Oryzias latipes: one gene and its partner. The protein of the gene in region 2 interacts with the protein of the main gene of each other region in a pairwise test. Links are inferred from orthologs where the notes say so. Each region holds a gene or a part of one and is shown on either strand. Other genes may lie near its edges. The genes, in order: c17h5orf22 and wbp11.

Evidence for each region.
Region 1: the proteins of wbp11 (region 2) and c17h5orf22 interact in binary tests that used the Homo sapiens proteins (3 or more experiments, as listed by UniProt). The two-hybrid records come from large-scale screens. The link is inferred for Oryzias latipes from reciprocal best matches to the Homo sapiens genes WBP11 and C5orf22.

The regions. Positions count from the first base shown.
Region 1 is NC_019875.2:13,153,378-13,157,302, reverse strand, and holds the start of c17h5orf22 (UPF0489 protein C5orf22 homolog), read right to left. Parts: upstream 2,626-3,925; 5' UTR 2,448-2,625; coding exon 2,379-2,447; intron 1,071-2,378; coding exon 925-1,070; intron 144-924; coding exon 1-143.
Region 2 is NC_019866.2:20,478,425-20,482,349, reverse strand, and holds the start of wbp11 (WW domain-binding protein 11), read right to left. Parts: upstream 2,833-3,925; 5' UTR 2,666-2,832; intron 2,280-2,665; 5' UTR 2,257-2,279; coding exon 2,193-2,256; intron 2,113-2,192; coding exon 2,081-2,112; intron 1,973-2,080; coding exon 1,879-1,972; intron 1,647-1,878; coding exon 1,450-1,646; intron 1,228-1,449; coding exon 1,097-1,227; intron 1,017-1,096; coding exon 850-1,016; intron 765-849; coding exon 579-764; intron 480-578; coding exon 360-479; intron 258-359; coding exon 1-257. UniProt on the Homo sapiens protein: Activates pre-mRNA splicing. May inhibit PP1 phosphatase activity.

The DNA of each region.
Region 1 (3,925 bases), on a different chromosome or scaffold from region 2:
TGGTGGTTGACGAGTCTCGACCAACACACATTTTCTGTTCTCCGTCTCGGATTTGCTGGGCCCAGTATGGATGCAACCACGCCACACTGGACACGTGACCAGCATACACCATGGGCATTATCCAGTTTTCAATACTCAACTCACTGAAAAAAATAGAAAGCCTGTTTAGCTTTGAAATGTATCTATTTACCAACTCAAGTAATGATGAAGCAAACATCACAGTTTACTAGGCCTTTGGGATCTTTAAAGCTTTTGTCCAATCAGTTCACTCTTGACCCCATGATACCTGAATTTATTATCAGCTTTGAAAAATAACCACTTATGTTTTTGCTTTCAAGTAGATACTAAATTAAGGTAACTTTAAATGTTAGAGCAGAAGTGGTTTGATGCATATTTGTGTCAATAGGCTTCAAGGAAATAAAAATAAAAGCCAATGCAAGAAAAATAAAAACTACTGTAGACCTTTCCTGGTATAATGAGAAAAACGCTGAATTCTGATCTGGAAAGCAATAAAAAAAAATCCTAAATAGATGAGATACATTTCCTTAGTGAGGAAGCATCACAGACATGGGGACAGCAAAATGCAAAAGACATTGTATCCTAGGAGGCTAAACACTGGAGTCTTGTTTCTTCGCCACATTAGCACATCATGAAGCCTGGTCAGTCCAGGAGCAAGAGTAGGATTGTGCTCTGCTGTCTTAGACTTCATTCGGTGCTGTCCTTACTTTTTACAGTTTTTCCTGCACTGTTAACTGAAGAACTGGAGGAAAACAAATAATCTGGAATTGAGAAGAGCAGCAAAAACTTTGCCTCTAATCCCTAAATATTGCAGTATCCACTCCAACCATTCCACCTGTACAGGGATTTTTGTCATTTGTCATGATTCAGTGCTAAAGGGCTGATTGCTTGACTCAAGAACGATACCTGAAGAGTTTTTCTTTTTCAAAGACTGTGTCAGCAGACATGTTGACTGGGATGAGAAGATCTGGGTGCGAGTCCAAATGAATCATCTTGATATTACTCGGTGGGAGATGTCTTGAGGCGATGGCCCTGTATATGTGCTGCACCACCTGTCAGAAAGCAGATATTTCATACGATAAATTCACATTCTTCTTACGGTACTTTTAAAGCCAAGGACTGAAAAGAAGGCCAATAAAATGTGACTTTTGTTCTTCATCGATAAAAACACACAGTGTCTATGCAAGAGTCGATGCGGTAAAAAATGAAAAAGAATGTACAAATTTGTTTCAAAATTTTCCAGCAACTATATCTTTAAACCCTTTATGGAATCACTTGTTGGAATAGTAATTAGATTTTTTTTAAAGCATTTTATAAGAAACTTGTTTTTTACCCAGAGACTTCATATCAACTGCTTTAAAGTCCTCCTTGAACAATGAATTGCATCAACTATTAAATCTGATGTATTCTTGTTAGTTATAGTTATTAAACCCCACAATTATAACACACTGGATAAGTTCAATTTTCTTCAAATACTTTTTATCTTTCTTAGTTCACTTTCTGGGGTAGTTTGACTAGTTTGGCACAATATCTTCTCCAGCTCTCTTTGTCTTTTTATTGATTTTTCTTACCTTTGTCTGAAATCTTTTATACTCCTAAATTTTAAAATGACAGGTCTTCCTTGATACCTCTGTTTCTCTCTATATTTGTTTGCTCTTCTTTAGACCCTTTAATTGCATCATCCTAAATGCCTCTTTCTTATGAGGTAAAAAGTCTCAAATTCTCTCTTTTTTTTTTTTTACTCATATAATGTATTTTATTTCATCTAGGTGTATCAAAAATCCAACCCGCTGTTTATCCTCTGACACACATCCTTTCCCCCATAAACCCTCATTAAAATTACTATAAAGTCTGTCTCCTTGCACTTTCCACCCTTGATGTGTTGTCAGCTCAAGATCTTGCGGTACAGTGTTAGATCTCGTGCTGATATGTTCCCTATGTGTGCAATTATTTGTGACCTCCTCCTACCATTGATCCGGACCAAATTTCTCTCATCCATAAATTGCTCAAAGACCTCACTGTTTTTTGTTTTCTTCTTCTTTTCTCCCAGAGTGTTCATTGAAATCTCCACATATCATGATACAACTCCTGCCGTGTTCTGTCATTGAATTTAGATGATTTATATGCATTTATTTCTATTGATTATAATAAATGGTGATATACAGATCTGTCCCTAACTAGAGTCTAGTAATTCCAGCATATCCACGCCTATTTTGGATGAAATGCTATCAGGTTGGTTAACGGTGTAGTTTAAAGTCGTTGTTACAGTTACGCGTCTGTTCATCTGTTGGTTTAATATAGATCCTGAAGTAACAGCTATAAACGTTAAGGAAATCAAGTTTGTATGTTTGTCTGCTTACATGGTGGTGGTCCTCCACGATCCACACCGGCAGATCCCGGTACGACCTCTTTAGCGGCGTTGAACTCATCCAAACACGAAAACACCTACAGTTTTTCCTATATCAAAGTGAACACAACGGTTTTTTTCTTAGGTGTATGTCCTCCTTTAATAATAAAAAAACAAACAAGCACCTAATTAAGAAATAATAATAATTTCCACATTCAATGCCGCGGGGCGGGGAAAGTGAGATCGTCACTGTTATTGTGTCCGGGTAGAAACAGGGTGATAATAAACAGTGCCGTCCAAATTACAGTGTATGCCGTCTTAATTTTACTTTTGCTAAACTTTTTATTATTTTAACTGCTGATAAATAAAATAAAAAACTAAGACGATTTTATTTTATCATCACAACTGGACAAGTTACCCTTTCATCAAATCATGTATAAAAGGCTTAACTATTCTTTCTGGCTTTTTTTCTTTCTCGTGAATATAATCAGAATCCAATTTTTCTTTATGCATGATTTTTTTTGAGCAAAAGTATGGTCAGTGCAAAAATTAAACAAATTGGATATTGTTTTGGGGGATTTTTCCTTTCGTCTCCTCTCCACACATTTATGCTGCATTTTTCCCATGTAAGCTTTTTTACAGATATGAATCTACATCCTTGTAGAAATTACCTTGGAATTTTTCTTTATTTTACATCAGGTTTTTGTCAACCTGTCAGTGTGTTAAAACACAGTCAATGTTGTTGTTGATATGTTTTATATTAAATATGTTCAGACAGAATATTTTTCTAAAACAAAAGTTACACTGGTTTGTCTGAAGATTCATGACCCCTGTTGTTAAGGTAAAATATACTGTTGTAACGGAACACAAACTGTCAAAGGTATCATTTTCTTTTTGCATGTAAAAAAATGTTATTGTTTGTACATATCGTACTGTAGTTGAGTCCTAGTATAAAATGAATTGTGAATTTTTTTTGATAGACATGTTATTCTGTCATCCGCGTCCTCTCATGTAACCGTGTAGATATTCGTCATAGCTTTTTCAATGAAATTGTGGAACTTTATGTTTTGGATTTAATTTTGATATAAATCTTCAAAGCCTTCAGCTCTCATCTGTTTGCCCAGCTGTTGGACAGAACAAGTTTAAAAAAAAAGAAAAAAAAAGGAGTAACATAATGAACTATTAAAGCAGAAGCTCGTTTCATGTTTTGTTGACAACAATTTAATATGGAACAAAACCCAATTGTTAAAAGAAAAGACAGCATATTAGATGTCTTTTAGTATCTGTTGGTTAAATAACTTTTAAATAAATATTCATGAATTTTTATTATATATCTAGTAAAATGCAACTCTGTAGCTCGAGGAGAGCCAGGGATGTCAAATCACATTTTAGCAAAAAAAGGACTTTAAGTGAATTGTTGGAGTCAGAATCCCAATTTCATCAGCTGCACAGATGATGCTGAGCTTTGAAACGGACAGAATTTAAGAGTCTATGGGTCACACGTGCTTATTGTTTTGACAGAATTAAGATGGTGTTGATGTTTTTAGGGGTGCTTAAAAC
Region 2 (3,925 bases):
AGAAGGAGGACCAGGGGGCCTCATTGGAGGAGCTGGAGGTGGGCCGAGAGGTGGAGGTCCAGTCATTGGAGGACCTTGCATGGGTGGAGGACCTTGCTGTGCCACATTTCCGGCAGTAGGAGGCAGATTCTGACCAGCCAAAGAATGAGGCTGCTTTTCTCCCTTTGATCCCCTCTCCTCTGTGTCAGAGCTGTCAGATCCATCCGTATATTCTTCCTCTTCTTCTTCGTCTTCATCCTCCTCAGGAATCGACTGACCTGAGAAGAGAAAAGCAGCGAATAGATATAAATATTTAAATATATTGAGAATAAAAGGCAGCTGTAATGCTGTAGAGATGTGGATGTGGCCCTCGTCCTCACCTGCCATCCTCAACATCATGGCCTGCAGAGGAGTGATGGCTTTGCTCTTTTTCACAACTCTTTTCTTCTTTTTCTTCCCATCTCCTTCCGCTGGCATGTCTGCAAAACGCACACTCCGACCTGCCGGGAATACGAGCCGGAGAAAAAAACACAAGACATTATATTAAAAAAAATGCACTCAGGGATGCTGATCAGCATCTTTGTTTCCTTTTTTTTTACCTCTGTCTTTGTTCTCCTCCCTCTTTTTGTCGTCATCTTGCCGCTCGTTGTCCCCTCCTTCTCGCTCTTCCTCGCTGTCTTCCTCAGAGTCGCTGTCATCGTCCCGGTCATCTCTGTCGCTCTCACTGCCACTGTCCTGATCCCTTTCCATTTCCACGTCTCTATCTAAACCAGGAATGGAGGATTCTTTGCAGAGAAAAAGAAAAGGTAAGAGGAGCAGGAGATTTAAAAAAAACACACACACACTGACATAGATGTGTCTGAATGTTACCGGCTTTTGTGCTGTAAGCTCTCCGAGAAGGAATTCCATAGAGAGCCAGGACCTGAGGAGGTGGGGGTCCAGGTGGGGGCCCTGGTGGCTTCTTTCCTGGAGGTAAACGCGGGACACCAGGTACTGATGCCATCACCGGTCCAGTGGATGAAGAAAGAAGTGGCTTGCTATGAAAAACAAAATGAGAACAATAAATAACATATTACATCCCACAGAATGCAGGAAGAGAAACTTGAACAAAACCAACCCAAAAGGGGTCTTCTTCAGAATGGAGGGAGGCTGCGCCCCTGGCAATGGGATGTCTTGGATGTGAATATTTGAAGGAGCGTGGGGCATGTCAGGTAAAGGAATACTGTCGACCTCCACTGACTCGGCATTCTGGAGGAAAAAATGCAAATATTAACACCTGCAACTAGAAAAAAAAAAAAAAAAAAAAAAAAAAAAAGCCAAAAAGACTTGAAATAAACCAAACTGTGTGTGTGACTTGGAGGTAAAACCTAATTTAAAATTTTTCAAAAGGTAATTAATACTTTAAGAAAAGAATAAAGGATCTTTAAGTGAACAAAGGAAGGAAAAAGGATCAGGAAGAACTAAAGCTACCTTCACTGAATCAAAATAAAGAGCCAGCTGGCCTCGCTTGGTCTCGTAGTCCAGTTCCAGTTTGCGCAGCTCCTTGTAAGTTTCCGGGTTCTCCCTCTCGTACAAATGGATGATGCGCTCAAATGTCTCACGCAGCTTCTTCCTCTTGTCCCTCAGTACTTTCTCATTCAGCAGAGGCTGTTGAACTGGGTTAAACTCTGCAGACAAGAAAAAGAATCAAAATGTTATTTTAAATTAGGATGGAGAGTGACTCAAAAGCTTATCCACATGCATGGACATCAATTTATGGGTTATAATACCGCAGTAGTTAATTCTGCTTAACTGAGGCTACATGACTATGTGTGTAGAGAGTCAGCTCAAAGATTAACTTGGGTTCTAGGAGGTTAAAGATGTAAAATAAAGTGAAAAAAGCAAATAGGAGCTGCTTACCCATCTCATCTAGCTTCTCCATATCTCTGATGATCTGTCTGGGATCCTTCATTTTCAACACTGCTGCTCTTACCATCATCCTCTGCTTCTTGTTCTGTGCAAAGAAAAAGCAAAGAAATGCAATCCAGAATAAAATTGTTTAGAAAAAAAAAATGAATGAATAAAAAAAGCCAACAAATATTCAGCTTAACAGTCCAAGTACCTTTTTTAACTCCCTTTTCCTCGCCTCTTTCCCTGTAAGGTAGGTAACACAAACACAAATGAGTCATGTTGACTGGATCTGATCATCACTGCTCGCACGGGTCGGTACTTACTGGCCTGGTCGGTGGGATTCATGAACTTCCCACTCTTGGTGGAGGAGGTTGAACGTCGCCCCATTGTTGCGGTCAGTCTCGTTTAACCTAACCAGTGCAGAATAAACGATGTAATGAGGTAAACAAACAAAAACTACAATCATATTCTAAAATGTGGTTAGAGTGCCTTGATGTTACTGTTTTATACCAAACTGATGGTAAGTTTTATGATCCCACAAAGCTAAATTAATATTTGAAGGAAGTTTAACTGTTTCTCTTTATAATAGTTGAGCTAGCAGGTAAACACGGAACTCTTGGCTCTTATTTTTACATAATTTGGTAAAACAAAGAAGGAATTCAGGCTGCTGGCAAAGCATATCGAAGCAAAAAGCTTGGACTCCAGCAGAGATTCGCTAGCTTAGCGCGTTAGCTTGCACTTGTGGCTACGCCCGTTTTAGCATCAACTGCAACAAATTAGTCAACGCCGCCTCTACCTTTACTTCAGGAAAACCTGGTGGACCACGATGGGTTTGTCACGCTCTCCGTGACACCTAAAGCAAAAAAATAAAGCCACAACCGAAAGAAAACCCAACACTTTAGGGCTAAATGTGTATGAATGCAACGTTAGCCGTCCGCCATGTTTACTGGCGCGGGCAAAAGCGGAAACACGATTTTGACGTCATAAAATTTCAAAATAAGATACTTTTTGTTGAGTATTTTTAGTTTGTTTGAAAGTTTTTGTTATTTGCTAATTTTATGGCCAAACATCTTCTTTTTTGTAATCAAATGCCGACCTTTAGTATTTGCCTGACAAAATAAAATATTTATAAAGTATTTTATTTATTAAAATGTGTGTTTGTTTGATTGTTTTTTGCCATTTTAAGAGAATGGAAACACAATATACTGCCATTGCTAACTACCGAGTACTAATATTAACAATATGAAAAAATGCATGATGATGTGATGTTTAAAACATTTTTAAAAAATAGAATGACATATTTTTCAAGCAATGACAATAACAAGCACCGATTCCAGCCAGAAAGGCCAAGTGGGCAAAATATGTTTAAAAGTGGGCAGAAAAAGTGGACCAGTTCACCGAATGCCCACTTAAGCCAATGTGAGGCCACCACAGAAACTGCAGACAATTGCCCACATTTTCTGCTCACTTTTAAACCATATGGGGCCCACTTGGCCTTTCTGGCTGAGAGCTAGTAGTATTGTTTACATGGAATTGAACTGTTGCTCTTAGGTTTAGTTAAGATTCAGGTTAACTGTGACAGCTCATTTTCTCTTTCTGACTGATGCAGATGGGGAAGCTGCTCATCTAAACGGATAACCTTCCCAATGATGCTGCCATACACCAGAACATCATTGAAGAAGAAGGCTTTGAGCTCCCACGTCTTCATCGTTTTGTTGTGTGTTTGTGGTGGGGAGGTGTAAGAGGAGTGTAAGGGTTGTGGTAAATCAGCTGTTTCTTTAAAGTCCCATTAGCTGCCATGCACCAAGGTGGGGGAAATTCGTTCTCCGGAACAATGTTATCAAGGACAATTTGGTAGTTTAACCCTCCAATTCAACCGCTTCATGCTGGGTGTTGAGCAGGAAGTTATTGGGTCCCATTTTCAAAGTCTTTGATCTGACTCAGCGGTGGATTTGAACTCACAACCTCCACCACAACCCCTCCACCACAAGGCCTCTGAGCTGGAGACCACAGAATATTGGCCACAGAATAATGATACAGTTGACAACTATGTGAA